4 linked regions of the Saccharomyces cerevisiae S288C genome follow. Changing the gene in region 1 together with any one later gene gives a genetic interaction. Each region holds a gene or a part of one and is shown in the gene's direction. Other genes may lie near its edges.

What was found.
Region 2: mutations in VRG4 (region 1) and AGE1 together harm fitness more than expected from each alone (negative genetic interaction), as found in Saccharomyces cerevisiae (one large-scale study listed by BioGRID).
Region 3: mutations in VRG4 (region 1) and TOS1 together harm fitness more than expected from each alone (negative genetic interaction), as found in Saccharomyces cerevisiae (one large-scale study listed by BioGRID).
Region 4: mutations in VRG4 (region 1) and SYT1 together harm fitness less than expected from each alone (positive genetic interaction), as found in Saccharomyces cerevisiae (one large-scale study listed by BioGRID).

The regions. Positions count from the first base shown.
Region 1 is NC_001139.9:75,048-78,425, forward strand, and holds VRG4 (GDP-mannose transporter), read left to right. Parts: upstream 1-1,846; coding exon 1,847-2,860; downstream 2,861-3,378. Other genes in the region: SDT1 (nucleotidase), read right to left, coding at 2,968-3,378. UniProt on the Saccharomyces cerevisiae protein: Involved in the import of GDP-mannose from the cytoplasm into the Golgi lumen. Defective copy causes severe glycosylation defect and abnormal retention of soluble endoplasmic reticulum proteins. Involved in vanadate sensitivity.
Region 2 is NC_001136.10:1,486,899-1,490,761, reverse strand, and holds AGE1 (GTPase-activating protein AGE1), read left to right. Parts: upstream 1-1,771; coding exon 1,772-3,220; downstream 3,221-3,863. Other genes in the region: SNA2 (Sna2p), read right to left, coding at 1-166; API2 (Api2p), read right to left, coding at 528-857; YDR524C-B (uncharacterized protein), read left to right, coding at 964-1,164; YDR524W-C (uncharacterized protein), read right to left, coding at 1,270-1,359; putative serine/threonine protein kinase SPS1, read left to right, coding at 3,724-3,863. UniProt on the Saccharomyces cerevisiae protein: GTPase-activating protein (GAP) for the ADP ribosylation factors ARF1 and ARF2. May be involved in the endocytic pathway.
Region 3 is NC_001134.8:562,581-566,182, reverse strand, and holds TOS1 (Tos1p), read left to right. Parts: upstream 1-1,612; coding exon 1,613-2,980; downstream 2,981-3,602. Other genes in the region: EXO5 (Exo5p), read right to left, coding at 1-460; YSY6 (Ysy6p), read right to left, coding at 755-952; mannosylinositol phosphorylceramide synthase catalytic subunit CSH1, read right to left, coding at 3,419-3,602. UniProt on the Saccharomyces cerevisiae protein: Probable circularly permuted 1,3-beta-glucanase involved in cell wall modification through beta-1,3-glucan network alterations such as increased branching or remodeling.
Region 4 is NC_001148.4:720,537-726,459, reverse strand, and holds SYT1 (Arf family guanine nucleotide exchange factor SYT1), read left to right. Parts: upstream 1-1,742; coding exon 1,743-5,423; downstream 5,424-5,923. Other genes in the region: LEC1 (Lec1p), read right to left, coding at 1-1,066; YPR096C (uncharacterized protein), read left to right, coding at 1,316-1,618; U2 snRNP complex subunit RDS3, read right to left, coding at 5,500-5,823. UniProt on the Saccharomyces cerevisiae protein: Guanine nucleotide exchange factor for Arf GTPases, stimulating the nucleotide exchange from the GDP-bound to the GTP-bound form. Catalyzes both the GDP release by and the GTP binding to ARF2. Has no exchange activity on Rab GTPases.

The DNA.
Region 1 (3,378 bases):
TGGTTGTGGTGGTAATGGCACAGAAACCTCCATCGCTACGTCCACACTTACGATGAGTGGTATACCTATCGCTACGATAATGAAGCACAGAAAAAGTGTACTTATCATATTACCGCAACTATGTACGTGAGGTGTAAATTATGGCTCTCATAGGACATAAGTAGGACAGAAATTGAAATTTTTGTGTTGGCAGAGCGAAAGAAACTTGAATTCGTTTATGAGGAATAAATTCTCAGCTCCATCCATGGTTCCAGTTGACGCTATGATACGCAAATTCCTTTGTGATACAGGTATCATTTCTGCAATTCCTCGTAGATTGTTGATCATACCATAAGATTGATGCTGGGGAAAGTGGAGAAGCTAACTTAACGATTGAGGCCTTGGCAAACCCTGTTAAACCAGTACTATCGGCCTTAACATGCGACTTAGAGAGAGAGAGAGAGAGAGATGTTTGCGTTTGCGTCATGATAGAGATGCTACATCCACATAGTTGTTGTAGACATGTTTAAAGGTACAATTCTGCAACAACGCCTTGAAATTTTCCAAAACTAACCAAGCACATTGGAGTTACGCTTATATAGTAAGCCACTTCACTTGCGTTGCTGTAAAGGTTGATAACTACAGGTAGGAATTAATGAATGTTAAATAAAAAAGGGAAATACCATCATCTCGACAAGAAAGGCAAAATAACTTTTCAATCTCACCAAGACGCGCGAACGAAACTCGTGCGTCTATATTAGTATCTTGACGGCGCTTTTACATCATTAAAGGTGTAATAAAACTGAAGTCATGCGATGGCACTGAAATAATCAAAGTAACTATTTGTGATGGCATGCACTGTGATATGATCTCAAGGAAAAAAATGCAATGTCGGGCGCCAATACTTATGATCATGCTTAGTCTCGACATTGACCTTGCTTGCTACAGTAATCTGGTGTCCGAGTAGTGACATCTAGGTACCGGTGAGAACTATATCTTCATTACTACACTTGTCGCCCCTGAATATTATCGCTACACACGCGAAAGAGCTCTTGTTAAAGTTACTCTCGCATCATTGCGGTACATGTTTTGCATATTCATCTGAAGTAGGAAAGGGTATAAGCAGTATATGATGTACCATCTGCATAAGCGGTGTTTAATGCGTACCTATCGTTTAAGAACAAAAGGAACACACCCACACCCGCTCCAATACCATATTGAGAGAATAATGAGGTAACATATGCTTCTATTTGGTTCGATAAGACGGCTACTAGTCCAAAAAAAGTCAAACAACAATTTCAACAGCTACATTCTGAAGATAGAACGCATTTTTGCCTGAATATTGCAACTCAATAGACATTCTAAAGTGCTACGAGAAAAAAGCTTGTAATGGACCATGGCAATGTGCGCCATATATATATGCGGCTCCCTTATGAGTAGAAGAAAATATATGACTGGTGGTACAAAGTGGCATGGTGGTATATAGATGTAGGAACACCATTTGAGTTTGCCATAATGATTAAATTTCCCTTTTTATAAAGAATTAGCCGCCCATAACACGAAAAATATCACAGTTGACGAAAGAAGACACGTCGCCTAAACGCGTAATGAATCGCAATATACGAAAAGCTAAACGGGTTTTTCAGAATCCTCTTACCCAGCCTTGGATAATAGTTTTGGCCGAAAAAAAAAAAAAGAAAGAAAAAAATTGAAATTTCGCGATCCGAACAAACAATGAACAGAAAAACAGAATATATATAACGCTGCCAAGCCTATTTCTTGTTGCCGATTAATTGTTGACATCCTCTTAATTACCAAAAGAGCCTAAGAAAACAAACACACTAACCACACAGTATCTTTCGCCCGAATGTCTGAATTGAAAACAGGTCATGCAGGCCATAACCCTTGGGCTTCAGTTGCCAATTCCGGTCCGATCTCTATTTTATCCTACTGTGGTTCCTCTATTTTAATGACGGTGACTAACAAGTTCGTCGTCAATTTGAAGGATTTCAACATGAACTTTGTCATGCTTTTCGTGCAATCTTTGGTTTGTACTATAACCTTGATTATCCTACGTATACTGGGCTATGCGAAGTTCCGTTCATTAAACAAAACAGACGCCAAGAACTGGTTCCCTATTTCCTTTTTACTGGTCTTGATGATCTACACCTCTTCGAAGGCTTTACAATACTTGGCTGTTCCAATTTACACCATTTTCAAGAATTTGACTATTATCTTGATTGCTTATGGTGAGGTTCTCTTTTTTGGTGGCTCTGTCACCTCCATGGAATTGTCATCATTTTTGTTGATGGTCCTTTCTTCTGTCGTTGCAACTTGGGGTGACCAGCAAGCTGTGGCTGCCAAGGCTGCTTCATTGGCTGAAGGAGCAGCCGGTGCTGTTGCCTCCTTTAACCCAGGTTATTTCTGGATGTTCACCAACTGTATCACTTCTGCATTATTCGTTCTTATAATGAGAAAGAGAATTAAGTTAACTAACTTCAAGGATTTCGACACTATGTTTTACAACAATGTTTTGGCTCTACCTATTCTATTGCTGTTTTCTTTCTGTGTGGAAGATTGGTCTTCAGTTAATTTGACCAATAACTTTTCTAACGATTCGCTAACTGCTATGATCATCAGTGGTGTTGCATCCGTCGGTATTTCTTACTGTTCCGGTTGGTGTGTTCGTGTTACTTCGTCTACTACATATTCGATGGTAGGGGCTTTGAACAAGCTGCCAATTGCCTTGTCTGGTTTGATTTTCTTTGATGCTCCAAGAAACTTCTTATCTATTCTCTCCATTTTTATTGGTTTCCTATCAGGTATTATTTATGCTGTTGCCAAACAAAAGAAGCAACAAGCCCAACCTTTACGTAAATGAGAACTTACGGGGGGTGCAATTTATTTTTTTTTTTTGGTTTATTTTATTTTATAGAGGCATCTAATGCAAGTAGATTTATATACAATTATACTTAAAATTGATATACCTTAGAACAGGTCGGACACAACGTGTGGTAACTCCAATATATCACTAATGACAATAGCGCCTTCTGGTGTTTGCCCCAAAATTTCATTTACTTCATTCTCAACTAAATGAATACATGTTTTCATGCCCAATTTGATACCTGTCTCGATGTTTTTCCCACTGTCATCTATAAAATAAGCATTCTCGTATCTTGCCAACCCGCTTTCCTTCATGGCTTTTTCAAATGCTTTAACATGTGGTTTGCAGACCAGCGTATCTGTCCTAGAGTAGTCACAATATGTCAATCCATCAAATAAATCCGCTATACCCAACAATCTCAGGCAACGTATTGCGTGGTTTTTATAAGCGTTGGTGAAAAGCCACAATTTATCAATCTTTCCCGATTGTCTCAATCTCAACAGCATATTCCTTAA
Region 2 (3,863 bases), on another chromosome or scaffold:
GACAGCTGATCACGTACAAAGCATGGATCAGACCAGGGAAAAACCCTAGTAAAAATAACAGAAAGTTAATGAGCAGATCCTTGGTAAAAAAACCTCTTTTTAGCCAGACTGCTAAGGGAGGAATGAAAATTGCAATAAAAACTAAAAACCAGTCGCGGGCGTGCATAGTGTAATTCTAAAGTTGTATGTTCTCTAATACGATGACTGGTACTTGCAAAATGCTTATTCGAGGACTAACTAAGATCGATCAGTAAAGATCTCTTGTCAATCAAACCTTTCTCGCACAATAGGAGACAGGAAAAGGGGAAAGAAAGTCGAAAAAGTGCGGGTTCCGGTACATGGATTATATCGCCCCGGGACAATGCGCGTTGCCCCTCACCGGCCCGGAATATACGCGTGGTTGCGCTCTTTCGTTACCCGCGACTGTTTTGGCGCCCCATTCATGCTACGCGGATCTGGACCTGCTTATTTCCCGAGAATACGTCCCGAAAAAGTAATGCAGTTTCCGAAATGGGCGCGGTAAGGGCCTAGGCCCAACGTTGGGCCTTTTTCAGTTCCAAAAAAACGACTCGTTGGGAGCCGTGCGGTCCCGTCTTCGGGCGTGATTGGCCGCTTTGGCCGCTTCTGGGCGTAGGACGCCAAAGTTTATTTCCAAAATAGCGAAGACCAGAGCCACGCCTTTTCTTTTTGCAAGCGGAATATCCGCTTGAGAAATGAGAAAAAGAAAGCAGAAAAAAAATCATCGCTTTTTTCACGTTTGTTACATGAGATATGGTGCTGTGTGTCATCGCGGTGGTTTTCCTGGCTTTTCTCCTCATATATAAGGAACTCGAGAAATTCTTGATTTTCTTTTCCATCTTCTCCTACTGTATTATTTACTTTATTAGTTAATATTGTTTTTGATTTTAGAGGAAAATCATCATTAAACATAAGTTTCAATCAACACTAATCATCAACAAAACAATGCAATTCAAGACCATCGTCGCTGCCTTCGCTACTGTTGCCGCTGTCCAAGCTGCTAACGTTTCTACCAATGGTTCCAACCGTACCAACGGTTCCAACACCACCAGCACCAAGATCTCCACTGGTGCTGCTGCTTCCAACGCTTTGGGTGCTGGTGTCTTCGGTGCTGCCGTCGCTGCCGGTGTCGCTTTCTTATTCTAAGTTCTTTAATTTTGAGTTTAGAGACATTATACTCCTATAATATCGAAAAAATTTTTTTATTATCGCTACACAATCAAGTTTTTATGTGCTTTTTTAATAATATTATTATAGAACAAGAAGAAAGACCGCTCTTTCCTTGAAGGGACCAAAGAAGGAAAAAAAATATGTTGGAAGGGTTTTATATGATCTTTTCATGTTCGTTCACTTGTAATGGAATATTAGTTAGAAGATGTAAATAACTTATCTGTTTATTTTTATTTCCTCTCTATAATTATTACCTGTATTAATTCATTATCTAATATAAAATCTAATCTAATAATAGAATTTTCTGATGTTTATCTTTTTTTTTGTCGTATTCTCGGCGAATTAATCGCGGAAAATTTCATATCGAATTTTAAAGGAATGTCATTTTGAACGCTAAAGTATTATTTATTCTCGTCCGATGTTGGTTTTTTTTCCTATCGCTGTCGTTATAATAGTACTTGACGAAGAGAGAAGAAAAGTAAAAATTTGAGCGAAAAAGAGGATAAAAATCACATTGAGGCAGAGTGGTTAAGGTAGCTGTACCAGTCATTTTGAATACATTTTTCTGGATGTTCCATCAATAATGGATTTTTATACTACTGATATCAACAAAAATGTTGTGCCTTTGTTCAGTAAAGGAACAGTAGCAAGAACAGCATCAAAAGCACAGTATCCATCATGGTGCAACAACGCGTTAAAGTTAACTAATATTCTTCTTAAATCTCTTCGATGTAAATTTCAAACGAACCGCTGCGAGGATGATCGAGGTTTTGAGGTATATTGTGTTATTTTAAAAAGCATCGCTTTATTAATGGCCGCGAAAGAATCATTGATATTACTACAAATACCTCCTTCTTTACCATCAGGATTTCCATTTCGTTCACCCCAACTGTCATTTACATATTTATCAACCCGTCTTAGTGGGAGCCAACACAAATCTACGCATTCTCATCACATCAATCATCAAACTCATCCCATTCATAGTAGCAGTAGCAACAGTAATAGTAATAACCGTATTCCTACAAAAACAGATTCCTCCAAACAGCATACACAGCATTTCTCTTTTGCTAATGCGGGAGCCTCCAATAGAGACGAACTGCTATCAATCGTGCGCAAAATTGATAAATCTAATTTGAAGTGTTGTGACTGCGGTAGCACCGCAACAGTAGAATGGGTGTCAATCAATTTATTGTGTATATTGTGTATCAAATGTTCGGGCGTTCATCGATCTCTGGGTTCACATATCTCCAAAATTAGATCTTTAACGCTGGATAATTTCACCTCGTTAGAGTTGATGCATCTTTTACAAAATAATGTTTCCAATAGTAATGTTAATGCCATTTATGAAAGCAATCTCAGGAACTTTCCAGTTAAAAAAATAACTGCAAATTCTGATGACTCGGAAAGATCCAAATTCATTATTGATAAGTATCAATTTAAAAAGTTTGTTATCGACAGCAACCAAGGCAGAGAGGCTTCTTTGAAGTCTTTAATTAAAGCTATCCATTTAGATAGTGTTTTCATGATGCAAAGAGCCATCGCCCAAAGTAAATATTCCCTAAGAGAATTGACGGCAAGCGAAAAAGAGCAGAATGATCTAAACCATTCTTCCATTTTTCAATATTCCCTAAAGCACTATGAAATTGTTGATGGAACGCCCATTTTTTTTATTACAGAATTTTTATTGTGCAATGGTATTCATATAGATAATTTACCGAAGATTACTACGAATTGGTCTCCAAAGGTTTTAGAATATTGGGAAACTAAGTTGGAGATGTACGGAACATTCCAAGCTGTAAATACTTCTCGTCCAAGATCAGGGCCGCATTTAAATATGCATTCAAATGTAGATTCAGCTTCGTCCTACAATAAGAAACACGATTTGAGAGTTAACATACCTGAAAGAAGTGCCTCAGCAAGTAAAAGGTGGAGTTTGAGCTCCATTCCTAAGTCTTCTCAAAATTTGATGTCCCCAACAAACTTATTAACAATGCATAAGTCTTTAAAATTGGCCAAAAAGGACAAAAAATAACATATATGATAATTTAACTGTATTTTTTTCCCTTTTCTAATACTTTTTCCTCAAGTTATATTTCGGAGCTGTCCCAGGTTCGGAACAATGCGGCATCAGGGATAAAAAAAAATGACACATAAAAACGAAAAAGACACAAATTCCATTTTTTTTTTTTGACGCGAAAGAATGACACTACTTTCTTCTATTGTAACCATTTCTAACATCGATATTTTACTTGTTAGTTCAGATATATACTAAAGAGTCACTTAATATACTGTTTTTGTTTATTATCTTGGTTCCAACTGCTTCATTTAATATTTCCTATCCAAAAAAAGCCAGCTAATTCTCTTCTTTTTTTTTCTTATTTTGCCATTTTCAATATTATCGATTTAGTGAACACCTGGCTAGTCAGTTGTCTTAGCAAACATTTCTCAAAAGAAAGCAAACCAGCATTTGCTTTTTAAATTTAGTTTTTTTACTAGCTAATTCATTTACTAAACAACAAAAGAAAATAGCACAAAATGGAAAGCAAAGAAATATCAATTAGGTCAAGAACCCCTCCATCGAAGCTATATTCCATCCAATCATGTATTGGCAGAGGTAACTTTGGTGATGTGTATAAAGCAGTGGATAGAGTTACGCAAGAAATTGTGGCAATTAA
Region 3 (3,602 bases), on another chromosome or scaffold:
AATTTTGAGAATAAAAGTCGTAAAAATTCCTTAACTCGCACCAATTCTGCGTAGTGCATAATTGTGTGACGGATAATCGTTTTTTCTTTAGCTGATTTACTTGAATGTCAAAATAGGGATTCTCTAAACCTCTGGGGAATCTGTAATTGATAAACGAAGGATTTTCAGGGTCTTCTCCAAATAATTCTTTAACGCTGGCCAATTTTTCGCTCAACAATGCTCCTTCCTTAGTATTTGTCTCTTTTGTCGGACTGGTGTTATCGAAAAATGGCAAATTATTGATTCTATCGATATCCGAGGCATTCAGGATACCGCTTGGATCATTAGTTGGAACATCATACATATGATTTTTCTTCGAAGGTAGTATAAATGTTCCATCAAGGGACTTATCGTTTAAATGTACAAATCTCCTAGGATGAATTAAAAATCCATACTTGTTGATTAGTGCCCGGCCCAGCATACGATAAGTACAGAAGAAAAGCAGAAAGCCTACTTGAAAAATTAAGAAAACAAAGACAGTCTACAAAGCTTTTCTGTGTACTATGCCTGGGTCCCCCCTCATACTCATCTTTGTTGCACGTTTGATTGGCATGGTAAATCACAATAGCACTTGAATTACTTCATCTTTTTTCGCATCCATAAATGACAACGCGGGTAATACTGCCTTATGCTTGTTGTTATTATTATTCGAAATCGCTTATTTATTTACGTACTTGCTTCCACTGTACACTTATATATGCAATTTGCCACTGCTTCATAGGATATAGCTGATTAGTTGCAAAACACCACCACCTACGAGAAGAAACAGAAGAATACCCAACCAAGTTTTGGATATCACAGGTGCGGTTTTCTCAGTTTTGCCCTCCTTCTTCTTACCGTATTTTCTATACTTTTCGTTATTCTTGTTAAACTTGGCATTAGCCAGTCTTTGTCTTGGTGTCTGTACGGCCATCGCAGGTGTTGTCCTCTATCTACTTCGACCTCTGCACCCTGCTATTTCTGCATGTAATGCTGTGCTGAAATTATATTTGATATAACGCAAGTAAGCGCAGATGGCGACAAGAAAAAAAGCCACGTCAAGTCATTAGACACGATATCACATACCACGAGATCTGCGCCTCGCTTTTTCTTTTCTTTTCGCGTTGGCGACTTTCCTTTTTCGTTGGCGATTTAGTGCTGGTTTTGTTTATTTTTCCACGCTTTTTCGTCGTACAGCAAACGTGAAAATTCGAAACTTGGGATTTTCATTTAAATATACCACGAATGCAGATGTGATTCATCACAAACGTTCCTGTCTTGGCAATATAGAAAATTTTCTTGCTTAGCCTTGTTTCACTTCCATTATTTTCAGATTTGTTTTAATTTTATTTTCGCATCTCTACTTTTTATATCTCTCGAACTTTGCTAGTTAAACTTCTTATCTCCATTCAATTTTTTTTTATATTATAATTATTTCTTTTCTCGCAAGAAGACTCCAGAATCAAAACTCAAACCAACCTAACTTATCCAACTTCTAGTCACTCCTTCAATAGAACGTCTTTTTCTCACCTTTTCGTTTTTCCATTTACACCCCATAAAATATCTAAAACCTAACGGAATTTGAACGAAAAAAATGTTACAAAAGCTTTCCATGACCGCATTAGTCGGTTTGTTTTCTTCAGTTGTGTCACTCGTGAACGCTGATTGTACTTACTCTGGCGGTAATTACTATTGTGCTCAAACCGATGCCATCATTTACTCTAACGTCGGTTTATCTGCTACCTACCAAGATGTCACCAATATGGATGAATCTTCTTGTGCTTGTACCCAAGCTGATTTCACTGCTTCTGGTAGCTTGGCTCCCTTCAACGAGGAACTATCTGTTCATTTCAGGGGTCCGATCGAGTTACTACAATTTGGTGTTTACTACCCAAATGGTGAATCTAATGCTTTGAAGAAAAGATCAGAGAAACAATCAATCGAGTCCTGTAAGGAAGGTGAAGCTGTTGTCTCCAGACATAAGCATCAGCACAAGAGGGATGTTGCTGTTGAATATGTTCAAGTTACTTCCACTGTTTACGTCGACAGTAATGGTCAAACAGTCACAGCCGATTCCACCAATACCGTTGTCGGTCCTGCTGTTCCTTCTTCTTACACTAAAGACTCTACTGTTTTGTCCAGCAGTGCTCAAGCAGTTGAAACGAGTGAAAGCCAGTCTTCCATCTCTTCCTCTAAAACCACCTCTTCTGCTGCTGCTGCTTCATCATCTTCGTCATCATCTTCTAACACTAACGGTGACTGGTCCAGAGGTTCCTACTTTGTCCCAGGCTCTACTAGCAACTGTACATTCATGAACAACCAAGGGGGGACTGCCGGTTCTGGTGTCTGGTCGAGTTGTTTCGGTAACTCCATCTCTTTTGCTGCTTCAGATGGTGTTTCTGGTGCTGCCTCCGCTCAAGCTCTTGGTGATGTCACCATTAAATCTGGTAATGAATTCATGATTTTCTCCGGTGAAGAATGTTCCGGTAATAACGGCGATTGTGGTTATTACAGAGAAGGCATTCCTGCTTATCATGGGTTTGGTGGGGCTGATAAAATTTTCGTCTTCGAATTTTCTATGCCAAGTGACACCAGCGGTTCTGCCTACAATCAAGATATGCCAGCTATTTGGTTATTAAATGCAAAAATCCCAAGAACCTTGCAATATGGTGATGCATCTTGTTCTTGTTGGAAAACTGGCTGTGGTGAAATGGATTTGTTCGAAATTTTGACCGCTGGTTCTGATAAATTAATCTCACACATCCATGACGGCCAAGATGGTGGTACTCAAGATTACTTCGAGAGACCAACTGATGGTACTTTAAAGGCTGCCGTAATCTTTAATTCAAGTGATAAAACTATTCACATTATCGAAGTCGACGAAAGCTTTGATGCTACTTTAAGCGATGATGTCGTTGACCAATGGTTGAGCAAGTCCGGTTCTTCTGCGGCCTTGCCATAGTCGATCGTTTCTTATTAACCAATAAAATTTTCCTTTTTTTCATTTATGTTTCACTTGCTATTTTTTTCCTTCCCCGTTATTATTTTTGTTTTAGGGTTTCTGTCCACTTTGAACAGATTGTGTTATTTTCCAAGAACAATACATTATTGTAAAAAAAAAAAAAAAAAAAAACTAAACTAAAAAAAAAAAATTCACTCTTAAAGTTTAGAGTTATGTTCTCTATCTATCTTTATCTTTATTATATACTATTAAAAACCAAGCTTCTGGACATTGTACTATTTTATAATCGAATTTTTTTCTCTTTAATTTTTATAGGAATGCATGTTACTTGTAATTCTTAAATACTAAGATTTAATACCTGTTATATATCTATACGCCATTGTTTTTGAGATTTATCCATGCTCACAATATTATAGGGGTAGAACAGTGGCAATTCAATCAGGTTAAGTCGGTAAATTTTGCGTGATTCTTTTCTATATCAAGGAAAACGCTGTCGTAGGGGATATTAGAATCTTTTCTTAATCTCTTACCCCTCGAATTATATTCGTGACGAGTAGGATTCCGCCTCTTTTCCTTATTCTTGTAAGACGATGTTAGTTTCCACTTGTGTAACTTGAACTTG
Region 4 (5,923 bases), on another chromosome or scaffold:
TTCTATGAGGTAAGCGCGGACATTTCTTCCCCGGAAATTCTGATTTTAAATCATGAGATAGTTTTTTGAAGTCGCTGTATGTTCTTGTCACATAGAAATAACCAGCATGGTGATCAAGATTACTATTCTCTTCATTGCTGTTATCTTGGTCGTCGTCATCTTGCTTCTTAATCTTAATCAAGAAATAATGATGTTTTCTAGATTGCTTGCTCTTAGTTGAAGGCACGCCAAGGGATAATTTCGAAAATAAAGATGCTGAGGATTCGGGCATACTATTTATGGTACTGTTAATAGTGTTGTTGAAGGCATTCTTCATCCATTTAGAAGTGGAAGCAAATGATTTTATAGCATGGCTTTTGGGACTCGAAGTTGGAGTAGATTTACTAGACTTGTCATTATCCACACTTTCAGTACATTTCCGTGAATTCTTATTGAACACGGATATAATATTGACGTCCCAACCGTTAATAAAAACGGATTCGTTAGTGAGCAAATTCTCTAAATTTTCTCTAGTTGGCATTGCAAATTTCTCAATATTAGAGCGTTTTCTCGCTTGGCCTGACTGTAAAACGAATTTATCCTCATTATAATACGCTTGCTCTTGAAAAGAGCCAACACCGGAGTTAAAGAGCAACAAGATAACCTTTGATAGCTTTTTGGAAACTTTCTTCCTTTTTGAAGCTTCCTCCCTGTCATAACTTTCACTAAACCCAAGACTCATGAAATGTTCAAAGAACACTTGAACCTTACTCTGCCAGAATTTTTCATCAACTAGCAAATTTGTTGAAAGTAAAGGAAATGTGGATATAAATTCTTGCAAAACATAACTCAGCATGGGATAATTAACGCTAAAATGGCCTTTGCCACCGAGCACTGGTGATGAATCGTTATTGGAGATAGGCTGTGGAGCTGTCGGATCGTTTGGTGAGAAAGGATAACCGAACTTTCTCAAAGCAAACTGATCGTTAAGCTTTCCAATTTCATAATCCAATTGACATCGAAGCAGTTCCCTCTTCAGGTAGTGTTCTTCCGTTGGATTTAAAGCAGGAGTGTCTTGAGTAATCATTTGAAGACTGTCTATTTTTGATTCTTTAGTACAATTATCTTCAACCACTGATTTCAGTACACAATTCCGACCACAAGGTAAGGTTCGTTTTTCTTTTTTTATAGAGCCCAATGCACAGTAATTGGATGTAGCTCTTAAAAAAGAATGAAAGCTAGAAAGTGATCAATTATTCGAAAAACACTTTAATACGTTCCTTGTTCACGCCTAAAAAGTTAACTGTCAAATGGTTAACGTACATTTATCTGTCTTATGAGAGGCGAAACAGGCGTAAGCATTAAAAACCCAAGGCCATCTCGTCCTTTTTCTTGTTTTTGGCGTAAAGGAGATGTTGAAAATATTAGGAAAAGTGATATAGGGAACGAAAAGAAAATAGACGCTAAGTTCAACAGGCTTCAGTATAATCTATATTACAAGCCTCTCTCGCACCACAAGGCCGGTTTATTGTACAAAGAACTCTTCTTCAGAAGCTGCTTCTCTTATACTACCTGCTCATTAGACTTTCAGGGTAAAAGGCACCAAGTGGAAAGAAAGGCAGTAGATATAGTACTTTGAATTCTTTTGACATCGCAAGGTTACTCGCATCCACTCCCTATTATTTACTCTGTTTCAACTCATTGTAACTTCATTTTCGCTAACTTCCCGCCAGACCAGCTCTTCAATCCACACTTGCCAGATAATGAATCAGTCTATTTCTTCGTTGATTAAGCTTAAATTCCTTCAATCACACAGTAACGATAAAAATGGCAACAAAAAGGGCGGAAGCAATGTTTCAACAGGCATAGATAAATTAAGAGAGTCGGAAAGTTATAGAAGTCCTTTTCTTCAACTCGCAGAAATACAGGAACACACTAATAATGACGACGATAAACTTGATGTAAAAGAATGCGAGCCCACAAAAAAACACAGCAAACTAAGCAGGATACGGCGTAAGATGGGTAGGTTAGACTTGAATTTCAGGTCAGCCAATGAAAAGGGTTCTGAAGATGATGAAATCTTGGTTGCACAACACCTCCGTAATGGACAAGATCCTGAAGAAATGCCTTTCAAATCAGAAAACAACATAGATTCGATAGAGAAAGTTCCCAAGCCCGATGGTGAGAGAGTCACGCTTACTAGCTCCGGGTCTGATAACGTAAAGAGAAATTCAAAACACGCCCCATTCATTCCTGTGAAACCTGCTCTAGAAAAATTTCCTTCTTCTAATAGATTGTCAAGAGATTACAGAAAATCACAAGAGCCTACCCTGTTTAACGGTGATAGATTAGTTCCTACTCTTCCTACTGTGAGTAGGATATCGACATCTTCTTCCGTCGGTTCCTCTACAGCGGCTTCAAGATATTTCAATCCGTCCAAAAGAGCTGTTGTTGCATCATCATCATCATCGTCGTCGTCAATAAAATTCAATTCGCTGCACGCAATACCACTTGATGCAACTCCTCAAATTGAATTGGCAAAACAACAAGATGAGATCTCCAAAAGGAGGTTCGGAAGAAGGCGCAGTAGAACTGTTGACGTATTTGACTATATTAACAAAAACAATACAGCAAAGAACAAACCGCCACTCTCTCCATCTTCTTTTATTAGGACTATTGACGAGAAAAATACAAATTCTCTTATGCAAGACCCCATGGGATCCCGCGGACCTCTTTTGCCCGATGATGCCAATATTATAAGCAATGATACAGATGGAGCGGAAGCAAGTCACCCAGACCATCAGGTTTTATCAAGGTCTCGATCTCAAAGTACGTCTTTTGTTCAAGGCAAGGGCGGCAAGAGAAAATCAATTGAAGATGAAGGCTACCATAACAAATTGGGCCTACCTCATGGATCAGGCCCTACTTCAGTTTACAACAATAAAAGCAATGCCAATTCAACTATTACTGGAATGTCAAGAAGAAGTAGCTCAATTGTGAATGCTTTAAGTAGTTTTGTTAACCTTCGCTCCTCCAGTTTATCATCCTCTAGGCAACAGCACCTTCAACAACAACAGCAGCTACAACAAAAACTGGATGTCTCGCTGGAAGATCTACCACCGGTTCCCGCGCCTGAATTTAGTGATTCTTGTAAGGACTTCTTGATTAAATTAGCGCCCTACGGAAAGTTCATTGGGATCATTTTAACGGAAAAAGATGATGAGTTCAAAAAAAATTGTTTAAACTACCTATTAACGAATTGCTTCGAATTTAAAAATGACCCTTTAGATATTGCCCTGAGGAAATTGTTGATGTTTTTAGAGCTTCCAAAGGAGACGCAGCAAATTGATAGATTGATAATGGCTTTTAGCTTTGCATACTATAAGGCCCAAAAGAGCTATTCTAAGAAAAAAGGAATTGAGTGCCCCTGGTCTAATGCAGACCAGGTGTATTTTATTGCATTTTCCTTACTAATGTTGCACACTGATTACTTTAACCCCAACAATAAAAGCAAAATGACAAAGCATGATTTCGTGGATTTAGTCCATAATGACAAATACTCAGGAGGTAATGAGATCCCTATGGCCGTTTTGACATATTTTTATGAGAATGTGACAGCCAAAGAGTCGCCGAAATTTAATTACTTTTTGATGTCACCAATGGCGTTGGACGATAGCATCCTTGATAAAGATGCATTTGACACAAATTTTGCTATCACATTATCTTCGAATTCGATGTATTCTCCCATAGACATGATAAAAAGGGGGAGTATAATACCCAAGGAAGCTTCCCTTTCCCCAATCTTTTATCCGCTAACGAATTCAATTAGTGCATCTGGTATTGCCCCATCTACGGCGGCTTCTTGCCCACCAAGTACGTCGGGTACTATAAACGGGGCCAACCTCGGAACGGCTAACAGTAATAGCAATAGACCGGCTTCTAACTCAATATCGTCTTATTTTTCATATAATCCAAGCTCTAGTTCTAGCGGAAATGCTACGTTAGTTCAAGATGACATTAACGTTTATTCGCACATTATAAATGATACATTAAATGAAGTAAATCTATTTCCAGAAGTCTCAAAATATTGGAATAAGAATGCTCTGAAGGCAAATTTGTTGAGAAATGAAGAACATAAATACGAAAAATATTATAGTATTATGAATGATACTAAAGGTGGGTATTTACGCTTTCACAAAAGTCAATTGAATAAACTGAATTTACCTAATTTTGAAATATTGAATGATAATAGCCGGTCTGGATGCAAGAACTCCGATTATAAGTATTGCAAAATCCTTCAAATGGGAGCAATAATGAATTTGGGGATGCCCAGTAGAAAATTTTCTATTGTTAACTCCGCTAAAATTCATTGGAAAAAGGAATTTGCCATATTAACATCATTGGGGCTTTTGATCTGCGATAAAATGGACTGGATAAATCCACAGATGATGAAGGACCCAAAATCAGGAACTACAAACTATATAATTGATTTTAAATCAGGATTTTCTTTTGTTCCGGGAAGTACGATTGACGTGTATAACGGTTTATTTGCTGATAGGGAGCGAGATTCACTTGGGAAATCTCATTTCGCAAGTTTGGTACTTGCGTATACAGAGCATCATTCTACTGGGAGTCATACAAGCAACACAACTGCAGCAAGTAGCTCCGCCAAACACAATGAAGGAGTCTTCGAGCCATCTTCAGATGAAGAGGATAGCATAACGAATTCTACTGATGGTACGAGCAGTGTGAGTAACGGCGAGAGTGACAACGATAGTGTTTCTAGTTCAGATAATCAACTCAGTTCAAATGACAGTAATGAAGATTATCATTCCATTAAGGACGAGTATCCGATTTTCGAAGACGAAAATGCCGATTGTCTATTATACTTACATACATGTCATCGAAATTTTATCTGGAAATGTGCTAATAAGTATGAAAGGGACAACTGGATCGATTCTATCAATCTATTTTCAGCATATGACGGATGCTATGTGGAAATTGGTAGTATAGCAAACACTATTTGTAATAAGAGAAAGCTTACCATTTTGCAGAGGATGGAAAGACTTAGGTCTATAAAATCAGCCAAATGGGAGAAATTGAAAAAATTTGAAAGCACTCTGATGCTTATGGGAAAATGTGTTCCTATTAGCACAAAGACTAAGACAGATATGATAAACCGCATAAGACAGCTGGCTGTCAGAATGGACTGGTTAATCTACGAAATTAAGAGAAGCGAGCTGTTTGTAAGTATCATAAAAGAAGTGACTCGCAAGCAGGCTGAAAAGAATATCTTAGAGCATGGTAAAGGAGAAGAGGAGGGGCAAGGCAATAACGACGATAGTGATGGTATAGATGATATAGAGGAAAGCTTCTTATTCAACGAGAACAGTTTGCAAGTGTGCGTGAGCGACAGTAGTTACGACGAATATAGTAACGAATAAGGGGAAGAAAATAGTACCATGGGTTATAAATGCATGTTATTTATTTATATATTTTTACATATTCTATATGTATGTGTTATACCTTTTTCTTTTTCTCGAAATGTCTATCCAGTCTATTGCTGCCAAGGTTTAAGATCCTAGGACAGCCATCTTTATCTTTACCTAAGCGGCAGCACTCCCAACAATAGAATGCGTCATTGACTCCAACATTTAGATTACAAATTATACAATTTTTAGCTTGTTTACCAAACGAACAGTTTTCACATACTCTAACTTTCCTTTTGGGCCTTACATAAGAGTCGCAGATAGGACATTTGCCATCACATTTTTCACAAAGAAGACCTGTCTGTACACCAGGCTGCTTTAGGCACATTATTAGATCAAACTGATGGCGGGACATGTTTTTTTTGTTGGAGGCTTGTATGTGTGTGGATCTTTTTTGTATCCATCTTCATTTTCTATGTTGAATGCCTTAGTAAGTGAGAAATATGGCAAGTAAT